Linked DNA regions of Caenorhabditis elegans. The protein of the gene in region 1 interacts with the protein of each later gene in a biochemical or structural test. Each region holds a gene or a part of one and is shown in the gene's direction. Other genes may lie near its edges. The genes, in order: sru-39 and dlg-1.

Region 1 (8,116 bases):
GCAAAATACAATTACAAATAATTCAGAAATAAAACTTTATTGACATTGAAAATGGTGAAGCAGTGAGATTATGTGCCCTTCTTACTTTTTCTCGATTTCTGAAATTAAATTTCAAATTTTGAAGGCAACAATGTTAAACTCACATCCTTTTTCAGTTTTTTCGTCGAGAAAACAAGATCTTTTCTCTGAAATATAAAAAAAGCTAGATGGAAATCAAAACTACAGTGCGTGCAACTTCTATAGCGCCCCCTATTTTTTTCGTGTTTCGTCACTTTCCCAAACTTTTTTGAGAAAACCATTATATCCATTCGATTTCAAATGTCAAAAAACCCCCTGTCCGAAATTTTCATGAAAGAATATCAAAGACTACGGTAATTAGGCCAAAAAGTCTGAAAAACGACCGTGCAACTTCTATAGCGCTCCCTCGAATTTTCGCTATTTTTCAATAAAATACCTAGTTTTATGAGATTTCTGAAAAGGATATAGTATTATATATTAAGAAAAAAGCATTCATTACGAAACTTGAACTAATAATTTAATTTTGTTCACTAAAGATATTTTGAAAGGTTGATATTAAATTCGGTAGAGATAGGTAAGGTAGATAGCGCTGCTCATTGTGAGGAAATCAGTTTTTCTCTCTAGAACAGAATTTTGCGACGTGCCAGAGATTGGACGCGGTTCATTTCTAGTAGAAAAGCTTCATATTCATTGTTGAAATTTTTATAAGTGTTATTCGAACAAAAAACTTTTGAAAAATGATTGGTCCAATGCAGGAGATCTCCTTTAAAAAAATTGCACATACATCAAAACTGGGCAAGTTCACTGCCCGCAGGTTTTTGGGTGAATTTTTAGTTTTTAACAAACACTTTGAAATATTAAGTTCGGATGCAAGTTCTGTGACCCCTCTGAACACTTCGACAGTTCTTTTGTCGTTCGATCTCGAATGAAACGCGCGGAACCACGGGAAACAGACCCGCCCAGTGTTTCTGCACATGTTAATTTGTTTGAGGGATATTTCTCGAATTTTACCGATCATTTTCCAACATTTTTCGATCCGGACAAAATTTGTTTTAAATAGTTAATTGAATGGATATCTTGTCTACCAGAAAAGACGCACATCCATTCTCTGACATGCCTCAGATGTGTTTTATCGATAGAACAACTGATTGGTTACTAGACTTACTATTAACTTGGTCTGTCAACCTGGCCCATATTGACCAAATTTTATGACAACTTATTGAAACATTATCAGTAAATCAAAATGAAAATTTCGGTCAAGTTTCGTATCAATACATGCAGTGGTAGCCGAGAACTGGCCACTAACGCAAAGTGAAGCGTTTCAGGCCACTCTTGGGATCCCAGAAGTTTTCACGTAATATATTTCTGTTGAAAATTGAAAAATGAAACCTTATGATCATTTTTCTTAATATATAATACTATATCCTTTTCAGAAATCTCATAAAACTAGGTATTTTATTGAAAAATAGCGAAAATTCGAGGGAGCGCTATAGAAGTTGCACGGTCGTTTTTCAGACTTTTTGACCTAATTACCGTAGTCTTTGATATTTTTTCATGAAAATTTCGGGCAGGGGGTTTTTTGACATTTAAAATCGAATGGCTATAATGGTTTTCTCAAAAAAGTTTGGGAAAGTGACGAAACACGAAAAAAATAGGGGGCGCTATAGAAGTTGCACGCACTGTATACTACTTTTACAGTTAAAAAAAATTACCACGGATTTTGCAGGTTCCTTTTCGTTTTTCCCAGTATCGATTGCATCTTCAAGTGTCATATTGGTCACATGCTGAGTGCTCTCAATCTCTCTGGCACGTGGATCAGATTGCGTCTTATCAGTGGTTATTGTTTTTTCTTTCTTGGGGATAATGGATTTCTGGGACTTTTGAAGAATAGGAGGCGGTTGAGCAACTGAAATCGCCTGTGCAGTCTTCGGGCCACCTGATGGAGTTACAGCTCGAATCGTTGGTTGTTTTGAGACAGGCTTCTTCTCCATCTCAACAATGTTCTCCAATGTTGCACCATCCTAATTTGGTGGGACAACTGGTCGTTCAGGCATCTGGAACTGTGCAAGAGGGTTTTCGTCGTCATCTCCAACAATTGAATCTCCAGTTTTCTCAGGTTTATCCTTCTTCGCTAAACGCTTTGCCATTTCTTTGAAAGCATCATCCCTGAAAAATGATCTTTAAAAAAATTATTTCAAGTAAAGTCGAAAGAAAAACAAGTTGTGACAACATTTTATGCCTATCCAATCACCCCAAAAATGCAGAAAACTCACGTGGAATCTGGTTCTTTACTGCTTTTGACTCCTCTCCGACCTCCTTTCGTTTTTGTTGAACCTCTGTCATCCCTGTCAACAATCCTCGATTGTCTTGAACATTGCGGTAGCGGTGTGGTTCCCTGAAATTTGGATGGTATTATCAATTATTCAATTGCGAAGTTCAAGTTCTAAACTATGAAACAATATTGAATTACCCGTGGAGTGACTTCCTCTAAAGTAGCCTTCTTGTCCTTCTTCAATTTTGCACAAAAAACGAGAAAGCTATTACATGATATTGCAAAAAGCATCGAAATAACAATTATAATGATCATTATGTTGACAGTTGAATTGTATGCTTGACCAGATGAAGAAAGTAGAAATAATTTTTCTAGTATAAATTGACCTTATCATTTTTAAACGTTGTTCTAATTAGCGGTAAACAAACTTTAGAAAAACGCGATTCAAAGTTAAAAAAAAATAGAGACCAGATGTCTACGCGAATTATTTTTTCAATCATTAAAAGAATAATTTTTTTCGTAAAATATTTACATTCCAGAAGTTCTGAGAAATTCAATTTTTGATCATTAGAATAATTAATTCGTACCACTCTTCATCAAGTTGTGAATGAAACAATATCGAAAAAGTGAAAATGCTGAATTCAAGCGGAAAGAAACCAAACTTGGGTCAGACTAAGAAGACCAAGAAGGCCACAAAAGTTCAACTGATCATTCTTTTCGTTTTGCTCAAGCATTGAAAGATGTCAGAAATATGATAGTTTATTTTGTATAATTTTTTCATGCGATTTTTCCCCATTTCTTTTGCGTCTGAAATTTTCTACTCAACTGGCATTTCCTTCAAACTAAAAATCATTTGATTCGCAGATTAGAGCAACGCACCCAAAAACTTATTTTTTGCAGACTTGTTTGTCTCTGCAGGAAAAAACATTATTTGTTGGGGCGTCGCATTAGTTTACCAATATATTTGTACCCAAATGTTTTTTAAACAAGAATAGTACTTTAGTTTAAACATGAAAATCCAGAAAAAAACTAGTTATTTGAAGGAAAAACCATTGAAATCACTTACCAAAAACCTGCGAAAGAGCGTTTTGAGCTATGTTGAAAAAATCTGAAACTTTGTTCGCCGAATTCTATTTAAAAATTTAGGTTTTTTCGAAATATAAAAATTCTAGAAAACACCTCAAACTGTTGCTAATCTTTTAGAATATCTTGCAATCGAAAATCGACAATAATTGATTCTGATGAAAAACTTTTTTTTCCGATGTTCCAAAAAAGCAAACTCTTCTGCAGTTAATTTTTGCGGTCACCAATTATTAAGGTTTTCTTTCAAATATCGAAGGCTCCAACTGGCTGTCGAATATTCAGCTGAAATACTTGCTTTGCTAGTCCATAATTTCATTTACCAGGAACAATCATTCGTCACTTGAATAAAAACGCGTAAACACTTTTAATTCTTATAAGTGAATTCAATTTCACTCATTTTCTGCTATTATCCACATTCCAGAAACAGGAGACCAGACAAGACTTCTTATTTTACACTTTTTCACATCTTTCGCATGTACTACGAATTTCCCGAAATACATGACCTTAGCACCTAAATAATCCGGTATATATGTAAGTATAAAAGATGCAAGTTTAAAAATTGATCTTTTGCCAATACACGTACTGCTCAATGAAATTTTATGAATAGCTGGCAATTAAAGCGCCTACTTTCAGTAGACATACGTCAACCACACTTTTCATTCTTCGAATAACTTCCAACATGTCTGTTTATGGACATATACCAATTGATAATAAGACTGAATATTCCAATTTTACATATTCATTCAATGTTTGGACTGTTTTCGCAGCAGTCACTTGTACATATACACTGTTTTCGTTTTGGATTACACTAAAAATGTGCATTTTTTATTTGAACAATAAAAATAACGAAGAAGTGAAAAGAGGACTTCGTCTTGATGTTTTTCGATTGTTTCTTTTGATGCAAGTATGGAAAGAATTTCATGTTTTGATGGATTTTCTGATAGTTCGAATTCCACTTACATCATTATTTACCAGTTATTGCTATCAATCGAAGCCAGTTCTACTTTTAAAAATATTATCATTGATGTTCACAGGAGTTGTATATACATCTCATTCATTAACTCTTGCGTTTTGCATTCAGAGAGTTGCATTATTATATGCTCATGAATATCACAAAGATGTATGTCAACTCATGAACCTCTAGTGTTAATTCATTTCATTTTCAGAAAATTGCAAAAATATTTGATATTGTCAACCCTCTCATTATATTTGTTGGGCATGGTTTTGGAATACCGTTCTTTTTTGCATCAAGCTCTTGTTATCAAATGGACGAACCATTTCCATTTGGAGCAATTGTAATCACAGCTCTACGCCGGGATATGGTGGTTCATAGAAAATCCAAAAGTTAATCGTAATGCAAGTATTTTTTCAGAAAACTTACACTATTATTTACTCAATTTTTTCTAATACAAATATAACACTGACGATTATATTGACAATCATGATGTTTGTAAAGCTGTATCATAAACGGAAGATGTAAGTTAAAATTCCTTATAATAAATTTTACACAAAACTTTTCCAGAACTTCCGAGTTGCGCCGACCAGTAGATTTAAAATCAGAAAAAGTATTAACAGCTACAATGATTCTAATTCTTCTCCCTGTTGTGGTTCCATCAATTCTGTCAATTGCAAATCTTTTTTCTTCAAATTTATATGCTTATATGTTTCTCCTGCGTTGCATTGCATTGGATGTCCGAGCTCATATTGTTTCTTGTTATTTCTATTATACGCATTACATTTTTAAAAAGAAAAACCGTAGTACTAAAATTCGAAACGACAGCACTATTCGAACAGTGTCAACATATTTTTAATGTGTAATAAATTATTTTGAATTTGTCTTTTTTCGGATGAAAAAATATTTTTTTTGGGTTCAAAAATTTCAAAGCACAAGTTTTTAATGTGATAATAATTTTCTGGATACTAGTTTTTATAGTGCATTCATATCACAAAAAGTGAAGTGAAAAAGTTAAAAACGTTGTCCAATTTTTTTCTTTAAGTTTTCGGGGAAACGTTTCAAAACTTTACTTCATGGAACGCATTGCTTGCTAAGCAATTTACCGCAATTCGTGTAATATATATTGTTCAATGAACACCATTAAAGGAAAATAAATTTTCATGAAAACTCGCAGGATAGTCAGAAAGTCTTGCCTTTTGGCTGCAAAAGGTAGAGTGAGCATTCAGGATCTCCTGGAATACATGGTTTTTCATCTAACAAATTTTTGAAAATTCAAAGAAACAATTATAACCAAACGTGACTATTTGAAAATCAAAGTTAAGTAAAATCAAAGTCGAGAGTCACTAGACTGCTTGCTTTGAACATTTATTCATTATCAATTTTAAAGCAACTACAAACAATTTGGAACCTGTATACTTTTTTCAGTATCATATCTGTGTAGGCGTATAAGATCCCAATGCCCACTTCTTGCTTGATTTGTCATTTCTTTGTTTTGGAAGTTTTCAAATGAGTCATAATTAAATCAAGTTTTCCATAAAGTATTTATGTCTGCTCCATAAATTAGAGTTATATTATTTGGTGATTATTGATGCCATATTTGTTAAAGAATAACACAAAAATCAGTAAATTAACTTTTGAATTGGCTCCAAAACAATTCCTCCCCAATTCTTTTCTATCCTGGTGTTATTGTTCGGTGATCTATTTTTGAGATGTCTGTCTATGGATTTAAGGCGATCGATTTTCAACCGGAATATTTCAATTTTGAATACACATTCAATTTTTTGACTATTTTTGCTGCTGTCACAGCTATCTACGGTATTTTTTCGTTTTGGATCACTGTGAAAATGTGTATTTTCTATTTGAAACATAAACATTGCAACGAAATGAAAAAAGTATTGAGACCGGATGTTTTTAGAATATTTCTTTTGATGCAACTGTGGAAAGAATTTCATGTTTTCATTGATTTTTTAATTGTTCGAATTCCATTGACATCGATTTTCACAGCGTATTGTGCAGAGTCAAAACCTGTATTAATTCTTAAAATATTATCTTTACTATTTATTGGAGTTGTTTATACATCTCATTTAATGACTCTGGCATTTTGTGTTCAAAGAGTTGCACTTTTGTATGCTGCTGAGTATCAAAAGGATGTATGTTTTGCACGGTCCATTTTTAAAAATAATAAAAAGACATTTAGACAATATCCAAGGTGTTTGACATAATCGCTCCAAGTCTTATAATAATTGGTCATTGCTTCGGAATTCCTCATTTCTTTTCCACAACTTCCTGCTATCAAATGGACAAACCTTTTCCGTTTGGAGCTATTGTTATCACGGCATTGACAAGAGATATGGTAAGCATTTGATTTGATAAAACGCTTAAATTATAAATTTTTCAGAGAATTTACACAATATTCTACTCAATGTTTTCAAACGCTTCGATTATTTTAATTATTGTCACTGCAATTTTGATGTTCTTCAAACTTTTGCAAAAACGGAAAATGTTAGTGTCAATTGCATTTGCTCAAGTTAAAATTTTAAAATTTCAGAAGTTCCGAGCTACACCGAAAAACAGATCTAAAATCTGAAAAAGTGTTGACAGCAACAATGATTCTGATTCTTCTCCCAGTCGTGGTACCTGCAACTCTATCCTTTGTCAATCTTTTTGCACCAAGTGCTTATCCTTATATTTTTCTCTCTCGGTGCATTTGTTTAGATGCTCGGGCCCATTTTGTATCATGTTATTTTTATTTTACCCACCACATTTTCAAAAAGAAAGAGCAACCTAAAAATAATATCAAAGTTGTATGTGATGTTAGTCCAAAACGAAGCATCTCTGCACATTTTTAATTTGAATAAATATTTAATTTTTTGAAGAGAGTGAAACACATTTTCTAATTTACAAATTGATATTTTATAGAACTTTTTTGTCGCAATCTTTTCATAATCAAATTAAAAAATTTTCACAGAAAAAAGTTTATCTTTCCGGAAAGCATTATTTTGTGGTATCATGTGTATGTTGTGATCATTTCCAGAACTCACCGTTTTCTCAAAATATTGTCAAATTTTCGTTAAAATCGTGTAAGTTGATTCAAATTGGTAACAATATATTGAATCTAATAGTCACTGAAAACAAATTCACCTGCACATTTCTTTTCTTTTTTCTTCGTTATTTTTCTGTGAGCCTAAAAGATGTGTCTCGTGATTCGATTGGCAATATTTCAATTCAGCTGAAAATCAACGTTTTTTTTAAATTTTTAATGATCTCTAGAAGCAGTACAGCCATGATTTTGAATTCACGAAATGCCACTAACACGTACTGGATTTTTATGTACACACAAAATGTAGGGTAACCATAATTAAAAAATTCCATATTAACAATGTTTTTATTTCCATTTGACCTATTATTAAACTTATATTTTTAAAGGATTATGAAGTTAAAAAAAAAGTTTTAAAAAAATATTTCATTTTCGGAGTTCCATTTTTTCAAACAAAACTTTGTAATTCCGAATTTTTAAAGCCGGGTTTTTTTTTTCACTAACAAGCTTTGAATTCTTGCAAAATATTATCTAATTAGGTGCCTATAAATCATCTTATATGTTGTTGGTATCATTTTAAATTTGAATAACATACTACCTTACTTTTTGGGATTTTAAGTTTTCTTGAAAACAAAAACCTGCTACTTTTCCGATACATTCTCTTTAATTAAAAACTAAATCCGTAAGCAATTTATTTCTTCAGACCCCCTGTTTTCTCGCGTTCTGATATTTACGACTTTCTTTCTTTTCG
Region 2 (12,380 bases), on another chromosome or scaffold:
CTGTTGCTAGGTAACGTCAAATTTGAATTCACAGTTTACCAAACTAGTCAAATAACTAGATTAAGACATATTTAATGAGTATAGACATTTATGTTTCAGAAAAAAATGTTTTTAACCCACCTTACTAACAAAATCGGAAAATTCCGGAGATCCAAGTAAATTATTATAGTTTCAATAAAGTTTCAACTTTTGAGTTTCTTGTCAATTTAGCACATTTTGATAAAATTTAATGTTTCTTCCGAAAACATACTTTTGGAACTAAATTTTAACAAAGTGTTTGAGGAGGTTTAACGTTTCAATCCGGAAACTAAAAACAAGTCAGCTGTTGGGGGTAAGTATAAATTGATTATTTTTGTGATGCAAGAAAACATGAGTGCAACTGAGCTTCTCTTCTTCTTCTAAATTTTACATTGAAAGTATATTTAACTCAATATTTCTACATTGAATTAGATATTTCAGACAAAAGCTAGACTTTCTGTGTTTTAAATGAAAATTGAAGCTGAGTTAAAAGTTTGAAATTTTTCAGTCAATATTCCAACTTCCATTTATTTATTATTCCAATTTTTCAATTTAATTATAATTTTTTCCAATTCAAATAGCAAAAAAACGCATCTCTTGTTATCTGTCGCTGCCAATGTTTCCCTCATGTTTTAATGATTAGTCGGGGTGGCTCTGTGTTGGCTCTCCGCACATGCCTGCCAGAACAGATAAGAGGTGATTGTAAGTCGGCCGTCGCGGGGGCTCTTAAAGCAACAACTAACGTCTGGCGCGTTTGAAAATGAGGACCGAGTGACCGGTCTATATGTTTTATTCAAATAAAACAATGGGCCGCATAATCCGCATGTTTTGTCCTTCTTCTTCTTCTTGATTTCGCACTCCGGGGCACAGTCGCTTCTCTTGCATAATTTTAGTGAGTGGGCGCCCCCTTGTTAGTGATCTCAAAAACCATGTCCTTGAAACATCTTCGGATTATCTAATCCTTTTTCTCTCTGCTGCGTTATATCTAAACCCTCTTGATGTTTCAGTTAATAATATTTTAATTAATTGACTCTTACAACTTTTCCTTTCACAAATCTAAATAAAACCCCTTCACTTTTTTCTCACATATTCCAAATGATTAGTCTAGGAAGTGCAAAGACCTGAAACCCCCTGCTGTTTTCGCGAATGATCTCCATTTTAGGAATGAGGGCGCAAAACTATTTGTCAGCTTAGAAAGTCCCCCACAGAGAATGAAAGATGCATAAGCATTTTCGTCTCTTCTTCTCCACGCACCAGCGCCTATGTCGGTCGTTATACAGTGAATACTATTCTATCTACATCTTACCCTCTATATTTTCACACGTTTTACATGTTATCAATAGAGCCGACTTGTCATGCACATCATGCATATACATATATAATTTTCTCTTCCCTTCTTTCCTTCATTGTATCAAGTGTGTCATTTTGAAAGAAAAAATCATTTTGAAAGGTAAGAGTTGCCAGTCTCATTAGTATAAAATGGTTGACTCATTTCCGTTTCTAATGACACTTGATCTCCAACACTGTGTCGCATTTTCATCGTACTGATTGTTTGTCATGATAATATTTGTTGAGAAACTATTATCTTGCGGCAGCCAAAACCAGCACCCTTGCTTTTCCGCTCCTTTTCCTTCTGCTTCTTCTTCTTATTCTGCTTCTTCGTATTGAGGGGCCTCCGATTTTATGGCCATTACAAGCAAAACCACGACGCTCACATATAAGCAGTGAGATGGCCGTTCGATTCTCATACCGTTCGTTTTCTCGTTTCCTCGTTTTTATCAATCGATTTGCAGTGATTTTTTACCTGGCTCTTCTTTTTTTTCCTCTCTCACTGCGTTTTCCCAATGTGTCCCATGATCGGTTGTTGATTCGATTCAGTTCTGTATTTGTCTATCTATCGATGTTCTAACATTCTAGTTGCACTGTTACTTCTATGGAATGTATTAGTGTGTTTCCCTTTTTTACTAAACATCTGTACATTGTTGTTTAGATGTCGTGAGATCGCAAGTGTATGTTTTTTTGGAAACTTTATGAACTCTTTTGTACGGTTATTTTTGTGCAATATATGAGTCACTTTGCAAACATTCTTTGATGCTGATATTTTTATCAGTAATAATAAAATCAAGAAACTAAGGTATGGGTATATTTTAGACGTTTTGTGTTCCCATTTTAGTCATAAAATCCCAAAAGTACATAAAATCGCTACAGTCAAGGCGCACTAAAAAAACCTTTTTAAAAAAATAGAAAAAAATATGACTTTTTTAATTCCATATTTCGAAATAGTAGTAGAGTATTCGCCTCGCCACAACTTTTTTGGCGCATTTGTTCCCGGCATGTTTTTGGTACAATAGACGACGTTCGCTATCTTCTTCCCGCATGTCGTGACTAATGTCCCGTTGGCTTGTACATGTTGAATATAATTTCACACACACACACACACACACACACAGCGTGACGCATAAGTTAGTGTTGTTTTTTCTATGCTGGCCGGGTCTGTTCCACTTCTCATCTTGACCATTTATGTTTCGACACTGTGATTTGTTTCAAGTCGACTTGTTCCTGTTTTTTGTTCAGTTCTTTGGAAATCAAGTGGCTATTGAAATATATTTTTTGTGAACTCAAATTTGCAGACGTGTCTGTGACCATTAATTTCAAACTATACAATTTTATGGCATTATTTTCTAATAAAACCCCCATTTTGTTTAGATAAAATTGTTAGTGTTCTAATGAAACATACATTTTAGAGCGAAGATAATTTTAACTATTTAACTTAAAGAGACGTGATGGGGTGGTAACAATTTAAAATTTCTGGCTTGTATATATTTTTGGCATCTGTGATAAAGACAAATTGTAGGAATATGTTAATTTAAATAAACTTAATCCAAAATTTTTGGATTTATTTTTCAGGACTCATTATGAAACCTTCCAGGGAGCCAAAACCCTCCGAACTTAATCTCCTTTATTTAAATTCAGAATTTTACAAAATATCCAAAGATAAAAATACCTAATAATAGTTTACTAATTTTTGAATTAGATGACAACCTTTCAAAACAATCGACTCCCCGCTCCTCCTACCAGGTCCCTCTCCGATGGTGCGGTTTGTCGCCTCGCGTCTATAATAAAACCACCGGCGGAGGTGGTTGGTGTCCAATAAACGTTGAAGACCCCCACCGTTTATACCCAAACGCCCTTCTTTTTTACCTCTTCTTCTACTCAAGCATATCTATCAGATCTCTCACACACAGTCTTCCCTTCTGGTAGATACTAATCTAGAGTAAGATGCGACCCGCCCGGAGGAAGACGAGAGGAATATTTATATTTTTCCCCCTCATCCAACCTACTGAATCATACCAATAGTTGGTGGGAATTGCCGAACAAAAAATAAACATATCCATGACTCGACACAAGTGAAATGCGAAACCTAGCGTCTTCCATCTTCTATGTACGGGATATCCTTCTATTTTTCTATCCACGATGGATTATGATTTATGAATCTTCCTAGATTTTTCAAAAAATTTCATTTACTCCTTCCCCTGCTCGTTTTGCTCTGCATCTTGTTTCTATTATTTACATCAAGTTCGCTAAAACAAACTCAATGGCGGCCTGCTTGTGTGTATGTGTGTGTGTGTGTGCGTGTGTTTGCCGTAAATTCTTGTTTCTTTCTGATAAGTTATGTCTTATCGCCGCACAGTTTTTCCTTTTCGTCTTCAATGCCTCCTTCTTACCGAGCTCTGTTTTTAGATTATTAGAAGCATTAAAACCAGTCGTCTATTTCTATTTTCAGTCTCAAAAACTTGTTGATCAATTTAATTTTTTCAATTTTCAGCGACCAGCATCGAAAGAAAACCGATCGGAGTGGGAAGAACGCCTCACCGAAGGAAGGAAGCATGTCCCACGAGTCATCGGAAAGTGAGTTCTAGACATTTAAGTTTCAAACTGTTTCTATTTTGCAAAACGTTCAATGTCCACTAATCTCAATTGTTTGCCACAGTTTTCTCCTAACCAATTATCACCGAACCCATTTCCTACGGTCGCCGTGGTCGTTAAACTCAATGTCACAATGACCAGAATTAGCCAAGGCAACACACCAACTTATGTACATTCTTGCGTTTTCTACGCTCCCCCTTTCCCTGCCTTCTTATGACTTCAATGCGATGATCGCATCTCAACAGTCTTCTTATCACCTCGAAACTGCCAAATACGGCCACCCCGCCTCATGAGGTATTGTGGTGTTGACACTTACACATTTCGATACACATACACATATACGTAATAATTTTGCTATATACGTTTTCGAAAAGTTCACACTACTCGGAGCCTCCTCCTCCTCCCCGCCAGGTGAATGCTTTCTGGCGCGCATGATGGTGAGGATGCGTCTCTGAATGTGCAAACATTATATTTGTATAAGAAGGCGAAGAAGACGCAGTGGGAGGAATAGAAGGCAAAAAGAAAGAGGGCAAAGAGAAAACAATCTGTTTGTGATGGTGTGTGTACGTGTCCGACAGTCCAACCAGGAGTCTCCCCTTTATTCATCGGAGACATCTTTCCGGGGCCAGTCTTGTACATTCCGAAGGGAAAGGGGAGAAAGGAGGGAAAACGAGGGAGATTGCGCATCCTCGCAGGGTGACTCATCGTTATTTGCCGGGATGGGAAAGAAAGCGCATGATAACCTTTTTTGTTGACCATGTTTTGCCGCAAAATGAGTCATCAACCTAGACTTGTTACACTTTGCGACTTGGGATGTGCATAATCCTACAACAATTATAACTGAACATGAAACTGTATTTTCAGAAGCGCATAAAGCGATAGAAAATGTGGAGGACTACTGCCAGACACTGACAAGACACGGCAATGAGGAGCTACGCACAAACCTGGAACGAGTTATCACCACATTCAAATCAAACCTGATGCATTCGTTGCTCGACATTCACGATCTGTACGAGCAGACGCTGCTCAGCGAGCGAAAATCAGATGCAGAGAAAAATATGGAAGTAAGGCGTGTGATTGAGCGACTCGAAGGTGGACCACACTCCTACAACAGTCGTCCGGCTGCGACGACTTCCACGTCGAACTACAACCTTTCAAGCACAACTCCACTTATTTCAGATGTAAGCTCTGCTTTCTTTTTTTCTCTGGATTTGGATTCTAGATTTTTTTAATACTTTATAAAAAAAATTATTTTAGCTGAGAGATCGGGGAGGTTTCTCGTATTTGAACGGCGGAGGCCTTGGAAACGGGCTTGGGAATGGACTTGGAAACGGACTTCTGTCTTCTCCGTACAACTCATCCAGCACTCACTACCTTCATGAGCGTCAACGTCAGACCAGTCATGATGGAACATGGCGGGAAACAACCACAAGAACAGTTGACACTCCAAGTGGTCTTGAAAGACGTGTGGTTGAAGTAAGATAATTTTGGCTCAATATTAGTTTTAATTATCATATATTCAGCATACTGGAGTTATCGATGATCATGGTCGTAAATGGGAGCTTGAGAATATTGTCTTGGAGAAAGGTCACACCGGCCTTGGATTCTCGATTACTGGAGGTATGCGCGTTCAACCGGTATTTATGATGTAACATATCTGATTATAGGTATGGACCAACCAACAGAAGACGGAGATACTTCTATCTATGTCACCAATATTATTGAAGGAGGTGCCGCACTTGCTGATGGGCGTATGAGGTAAAAAACCGCAATTTAAGATGAACAGAACTTTATGGTCATGTTTTTTTTAGAAAGAATGATATTATCACTGCAGTCAACAATACAAACTGTGAAAATGTGAAGCATGAGGTTGCAGTCAACGCATTGAAAAGCTCCGGAAACGTTGTTTCGTTGAGTTTGAAACGGCGTAAAGATGAAGCCTTTCTTCCAATTGGAGGAAACTTTGGCGGGTCGACTTCTTACCTCAGATCAGGAGTCACTCCATCAGTGAGCGCCGGCAACTTGCAACACGCAATTCATTCTCCATCGGCTCCGATTCATCCACCACCGCCACCACCAGTTCATCACGGATCATTGAGCCAATTATCTGTTGGCCAATATCGTTCCACACGACCGAATACATCCGTCATTGATCTGGTTAAGGTTGGCGACATTTTCTCTTTCCAAAGTACAAAAGAATCTATGTGAACTTTTTTTAGGGAGCACGTGGACTTGGTTTCTCTATTGCTGGTGGTCAAGGAAACGAGCACGTTAAAGGAGATACCGATATCTATGTGACGAAAATCATTGAGGAGGGAGCAGCTGAATTAGACGGAAGATTAAGAGTCGGAGATAAGATTCTTGAAGTTGATCATCACTCTTTGATTAACACGACTCATGAAAATGCGGTCAATGTTCTCAAAAACACTGGAAATCGTGTTCGACTTCTTATTCAGCAAGGAACTGGGGCAATTTTCAATGACTCGGCGAGCCAACAATTCATGCCAACTACCCCAATTCTCAGACGTAAGACAATCCCAAGAATCAAAAATAATAATATAGTTTCTAATTAATTTCATTTCAGCTAGCTCCGTTCAAGACTACAACCGCTCTCAAATGGGATCTCAAAGTCATTTGTCTTACGGAGGACCACTGAACACCAGCTACAGTTCACAAGCCCCCATCGCAATTCCACTCGAACCCCGTCCAGTACAACTTGTAAAGGGCCAAAATGGACTTGGATTCAACATTGTTGGCGGAGAAGACAATGAGCCCATCTACATCAGTTTTGTTCTCCCAGGAGGTGTTGCTGATCTTAGTGGAAACGTGAAGACTGGAGACGTTCTTCTTGAAGTGAACGGAGTTGTTTTGAGAAATGCAACCCATAAGGAAGCAGCTGAAGCATTGAGAAACGCTGGAAATCCCGTTTATCTCACTCTTCAGTACAGACCACAAGAGTATCAAATTTTTGAGTCCAAAATTGAGAAGCTGAGAAACGACGTGATTGCTCAATCTAGAATGGGAACTTTGAGCAGAAAGTCTGAATATGTTAGGTAAGAAGATTTGTTTACTTATAAATGTATACATATATCAACGAATAACATCTTTCAGAGCACTTTTCGATTATGATCCATCACGTGAAAACTCTGTTGCTCCCCATAGATCAATGGGATTTAACTATGGTGACATCCTACATATCATCAACTCATCTGACGATGAATGGTGGACAGCTAGAAAAGTTCACGAAAACGGAGAAGAAACAGCTGAAGGAGTGATTCCATCAAAGAAACGTGTCGAGAAGAGAGAACGACTTCGTCGGAAGCAAGTCAACTTCAACTCGGGATCGCAGTCTCTTGGAAGAAACTCGAGCACTACTGGATTGGAAAACCGAAGAGGAAGCCGCAGTCAGCTTTCCTTCTCCAGAAAGTTCCCATTCGTCAAAAGTACCGACCGGCTCAACGATCTTAATGAGGAATCCTCAAATGTAGCTGAAGAGCCAGTGTGGTCCTACCAGGCAGTTGAGCAACAGGCGATCAACTACGTTCGTCCAGTGATCATTCTTGGAGCTCTCAAAGACCGAATCAACGATGAACTTGTCAACCGCGACCCTTCGAAATTCAGTAGCTGCGTTCCACGTAAGTTGTGAAGTTATTAACTACTTTAAAAAAGAGAACATTTCTAAATAGTATGTGCAATATACTCATAATACCCTTTTCAGACACTTCCCGACCACCACGCGAGGGAGAGGTTAACGGACGTGACTACTACTTTGTCAACAAGCACAATATGGAGGAAGATGTCAAGAATAATCTCTTCATTGAAGCGGGACAATTCCAAAACAATCTCTACGGAACTAGCATTCAAAGCGTCCGAGATGTCGCCAACCAAGGAAGACACTGTATTCTGGACGTCAGTGGAAATGCTATCCGACGACTTCAAAGCAATGCCAATATTCAACCAATCTCGATCTTCATCAAGCCCAGCTCTGCACAACAGATTCTGTAAGTTAAATTGTAAAAAGAAGCTTTATCAATCTGCAAAATTTCAGTGAATTGGACAGCCAACTTGCCACCAACCGACAAGACGATCGAGCGATGAGTGGCGAAGAAGCTCAAGCGCAGTATTCCAGATGTCATAGAATTGAGCAAACTTTCGGGGATTTGTTCACGCGTATGTCTTTTTTCCAACCATTATTATCAAATATCTGATTTTTTATTTATTTCAGAAGAAATCTCAAATGTGCACAGCGCGAATGACGTTTTGAGCAAAGTGTACTCCATCATCAGCCGTGAATCGCAGACGCCAATTTGGGTGCCACGTCATTAGATGAAATTGGATATTTTTTAGACAAATAATCGTTTCTTCAAGAAATATGTCTTCTTGAAATTAATTAATATACAGTTTAATTTACCTTAATAATTAGACTACGCCGTGTTGTGATACTTTTTTTTAATCTGAGAAAAGTGATCCTTTGAAAAAACTCTTGATGTCATTTGCTTTATCCTGTTTCCATCCCCATCTTTATTTGTATTTTGTTTAGTACCCCTTCCCTATTATGCATTAATTTACATGACCTTTCCAAGTTCTCAATTCAAGAAACTCTACTACTCGAACTCAGAAACGTGAAAGGCCAATATTTCAATAGTTTTCTGATTCTTTTTTTCTTTTACCTTGCTCATTATTTTCATTTTCAATCATAACTCTCCACAATCACTGCCAGAAAACGGTGAATCGTTTCTACTTTTGTCTCCGAATATTTTACTACGATAGTTTGTACTGCCTGTTTTCTCTACAGCCCATTTTATCTTGAAATTCACCTTACAAATACTTGCATTTTATAATCCGCCCCAGCTTTCCTTCCTTCTTCCCTCTCCTTCCTCCCCCAACTCAATTCACTTCTTACTTGAAATTGTGACAGTTTGTGATATTCTCAACGCTTCATTTGTCTCTACTAACCGCAAATCATTATCATATTCCCGACTCTCTACTGATGAAAAACTTCGGCTCATTTCTATTTTTTGGGACTTTTATTACTCTGAGAGCATTTTATTTTCATCCATTGGTTCCAAACTTTTTTTTTTTAATTATTTTTAAAAACTTTTTATACAAATTATCTTGAATAAAGATTTTATTGCATCTGCAAAACATACATGTGTTGAAGTAACAAGAAAAAACTTTATTTTCAGTATATCAGGGTGTTCTGAAAATGACTGCGGCAATTTGTCATTAAAAATATTCATTTTATTAGATCGCTGGAAAAATTCCGAAACAAAAGGATTTGAAGTACTCTTCAGAATCCGTTTCGAAATGTGCTTCCGTAGCGCAGTAGGCAGCGCGTCAGTCTCATAATCTGAAGGTCGTGAGTTCGAGCCTCACCGGGAGCAATCTTTTTTGCCTAATATATTTCTTCGACTGAAATATTGTTCCTGATATTTTATTAGTCTTTCAATTAACGAAAAAAACATGTATTTTAAACGCAAAATAAGATTAGAATGATTTTAAAATATCAATAATATTTTAATTACTGACTATGAGTTAAATTTGAGATTTTTCAACTAGACTATTTACAGTTGTGATATTTTCAAATCCCTGTCCCACTTGGGATCTCAGTTTTTGCATCCTTTCTCAAGTCCTTTGTGAAGAGTTCACAACGTGCTTCCGTAGCGCAGTAGGCAGCGCGTCAGTCTCATAATCTGAAGGTCGTGAGTTCGAGCCTCACCGGGAGCAATTTTTTTTTTGAAGTTTTCCCAAGTAGCATAAGTTGCCATGAAGAAAACTGTAATTTTAATTTAATTTTTAATTTAACTGTTTAAATTCATTTTTTAATTTGAGTCAAAGCTAGCAATTTATTTTATCTCACATTTTGTTAATTTGAAACACAGACTGGCTCGAATTTAAGAACATTTTTTTATTCTTTTGATCCTACTTTGCAGACGTTGTTCAGTGCTTCCGTAGCGCAGTAGGCAGCGCGTCAGTCTCATAATCTGAAGGTCGTGAGTTCGAGCCTCACCGGGAGCAATCTTTTTTATTTTATTGATATCTTGATTTTAAATTTATGAATGTTTATAATTGTAGAATAGTTCCTCATTTTCTCATTTTTAATTTATTTTTACATAGCAAAGTTACTTGTTTTACTCTTTTCTGCCTCATTAAATGTGTTTCATTGTTTTTATGTTCACGCTTTAATTTTTCTGTAACAATAGTATGATATCGCTTACGGTTTAAATAACTTTAAAAGATTTCAGTTCTACCATAGTACCATTGAGATAAAATAAAGGGTAAAATAATTGAGCTAGGTCATGTCAGTGACCCCCTTTCATGCAATTTTTCGTGTGCGCGCACAAAACGCGTCAATAGGATGGTTGACGTCTTTTCCGTGTGAACGTGCGTGCTTTATGAACGTATTAAAGTTTATCGGATATTCTTAACTAGTTTCTCACAAATTTGTTTGCATTCCCAACTTGTATGACGGTTCTTTATTTTTTATTATTCGTTTTTTTTTTTTTGGAAAATGAGACAGTTAATTTTATTCTATTGTAATGTTTGTTTACTGGTTTACTAACTGAATTTCTTAGTGAAAATAATGTTTAATAAAAAGTTAAAATGAATAATGAATATCTCAAAATAATATAGTAGTTGTGTATATCTTCTTTGAATTCGTAAATACCTTCAAAAACAAATTTCCCAGATCAACCATGGCAAAAATGAAAATGACACAAGAGGAACTAGTGCAAGCATTTAATCAATACATGCCAAAACGACCGGTTTATCCTCCACTGGTTCACGATGATGACGTGCTCGCACATTCCGCCACAGAGTCGGAAGGAAGTGACGAAGAAGAGGATGATTTGACGTAATGTTTTATTTAGCTCATAATCCTTTAATAATAATTGTTCTGAACGTTCAAGAAATTTTCTAATTCCAAAATAACCAGTATGTGGAAGTATGTCCAAAATTGTGGTCCAAAAATGTGATATTAAATTTTCACTCTGTTAAAAATATTTGAACAAAAATTTATATGCGGTTGCAGGGAAAAAACAAAAATGTTTTTAAATAAAAAAAACTTTGGAAATGTTATATCCAAAAGGATGTTATAATAATACTTCAAACATTTTTAGGCTTCACAATGTGTTCAGTTAAAGTTTTTTAAACCAAAATTCTAAAAAAGGCTTCTTGAACAAGCTTTAAATGGCTCCCATCAAAAAATTAGTGGGATAAGAGCAGTTTTAACCAGAAAACGTTCATTGTATTATTTCACCAAGGCTAGACAGAAATTTTAAATTTTATTTGAAAACTTTGAAAAAGAAAATTTTAACTGTCATTTTTTGACCAAGTTTACATTCTTTAGTTGAAAAACGAAAAAAGAGGTGTTTTCCCAGAAATTTTTTCTAAACCATTTTGTATTGGAACTTGCCTACTTACACTAAAACAAACTTTATATTTTCAGAAAGCGATTGAAAGTGACTTTGGCATTTTCAACAGACATGATGTCAGAATGCCGCACAGCCTGGGAAGACTCAACTTGTAAACCACCGATTCAGTATCTCGAGGACAATATTCAAAAAGATGTTGAATATGTATGGTTAAAATATCATAAATAAAATACCATATCATTTTTCGATTTTCAGATACTCGAGAAACTGGTCAATCTGAAAATCAAGCCCAACAATCCAATTGAATGGCTTGGATACTGTCTTTTGAACATGAACATCAATGATCCTCGAAAATCAAAAGATCACAAAAATAAACCATCGGAATTGTTGCGAGACTTTAAAATCGAAGCGCTTGTCAATATGGTATGGAATATGGAGGAAGGTGGCTCAGGAAGCATTTCTACTTTGCACAAGCAGGCACCTAGTCCAACAGCTGGAAAACGAAGGAATCCTTCTTGATTTTGTAACGAAAATTAACAATTCACAAATAGGTGTCTAAAACTATACCCCATCAACTTGTTATGAACAAGAATTCCAGAAATTATCATTTTCGTTTTTTTTTGTTGTAAAATCTGAACATAACCATTCTTTCACAATCATTCACTTTTTATACTTTTTTCTTGTCCCGTGCATTACTCGCATCAAAATTCCTAGTCATCTTGAACTTTTGGAATTTATGTCCAGATTCCATTCCAAGTCTGGTGCATGTGCTTGGTTTTTTCCCCAAATTTTCATTTTGTGACCGTTTCCACAAACTGGTTATCTTTGCAACTTGCAAATCCGCCATTCCTCTGTGCATTGCACTCTTCTGTGCATAAATATGTGTATCTATTTATCAATTTGAATAATGAACTTTTCCAGAAATTGTTACAGAAATTCCTGAAATATGTTTGAAATGGCAAGGCATTGTAATTGATTAAAGGCACAGTATCATCTGTGAGTTTTTAGTCTATTTAAACAAAATATTTACTAACTCTACTCTCCTAACTTATGTAAAATGTG

The links.
Region 2: the proteins of sru-39 (region 1) and dlg-1 form a complex in vitro, tested with the Caenorhabditis elegans proteins (one study listed by BioGRID).

Annotation. Positions count from the first base shown.
Region 1 is NC_003283.11:9,799,424-9,807,539, forward strand, and holds sru-39 (Serpentine Receptor, class T), read left to right. Parts: upstream 1-4,052; coding exon 4,053-4,493; intron 4,494-4,539; coding exon 4,540-4,698; intron 4,699-4,745; coding exon 4,746-4,849; intron 4,850-4,895; coding exon 4,896-5,184; downstream 5,185-8,116. Other genes in the region: F46B6.10 (uncharacterized protein), read right to left, coding at 2,040-2,184, 2,292-2,413, 2,489-2,605; sru-37 (Serpentine Receptor, class U), read left to right, coding at 6,038-6,478, 6,526-6,681, 6,727-6,830, 6,877-7,177.
Region 2 is NC_003284.9:5,475,856-5,488,235, forward strand, and holds dlg-1 (Disks large homolog 1), read left to right. Parts: upstream 1-3,844; 5' UTR 3,845-3,905; coding exon 3,906-3,927; intron 3,928-4,136; exon of another isoform or gene 4,137-4,247; intron 4,248-4,363; exon of another isoform or gene 4,364-4,641; intron 4,642-4,809; coding exon 4,810-5,126; intron 5,127-5,202; coding exon 5,203-5,421; intron 5,422-5,468; coding exon 5,469-5,565; intron 5,566-5,612; coding exon 5,613-5,703; intron 5,704-5,756; coding exon 5,757-6,108; intron 6,109-6,164; coding exon 6,165-6,471; intron 6,472-6,529; coding exon 6,530-6,998; intron 6,999-7,056; coding exon 7,057-7,580; intron 7,581-7,663; coding exon 7,664-7,946; intron 7,947-7,993; coding exon 7,994-8,115; intron 8,116-8,170; coding exon 8,171-8,271; 3' UTR 8,272-9,086; downstream 9,087-12,380. Other genes in the region: C25F6.1 (Condensin-2 complex subunit H2), read left to right, coding at 10,641-10,798, 11,393-11,522, 11,574-11,837. UniProt on the Caenorhabditis elegans protein: Essential multidomain scaffolding protein required for normal development. Recruits channels, receptors and signaling molecules to discrete plasma membrane domains in polarized cells. Required for proper embryonic elongation.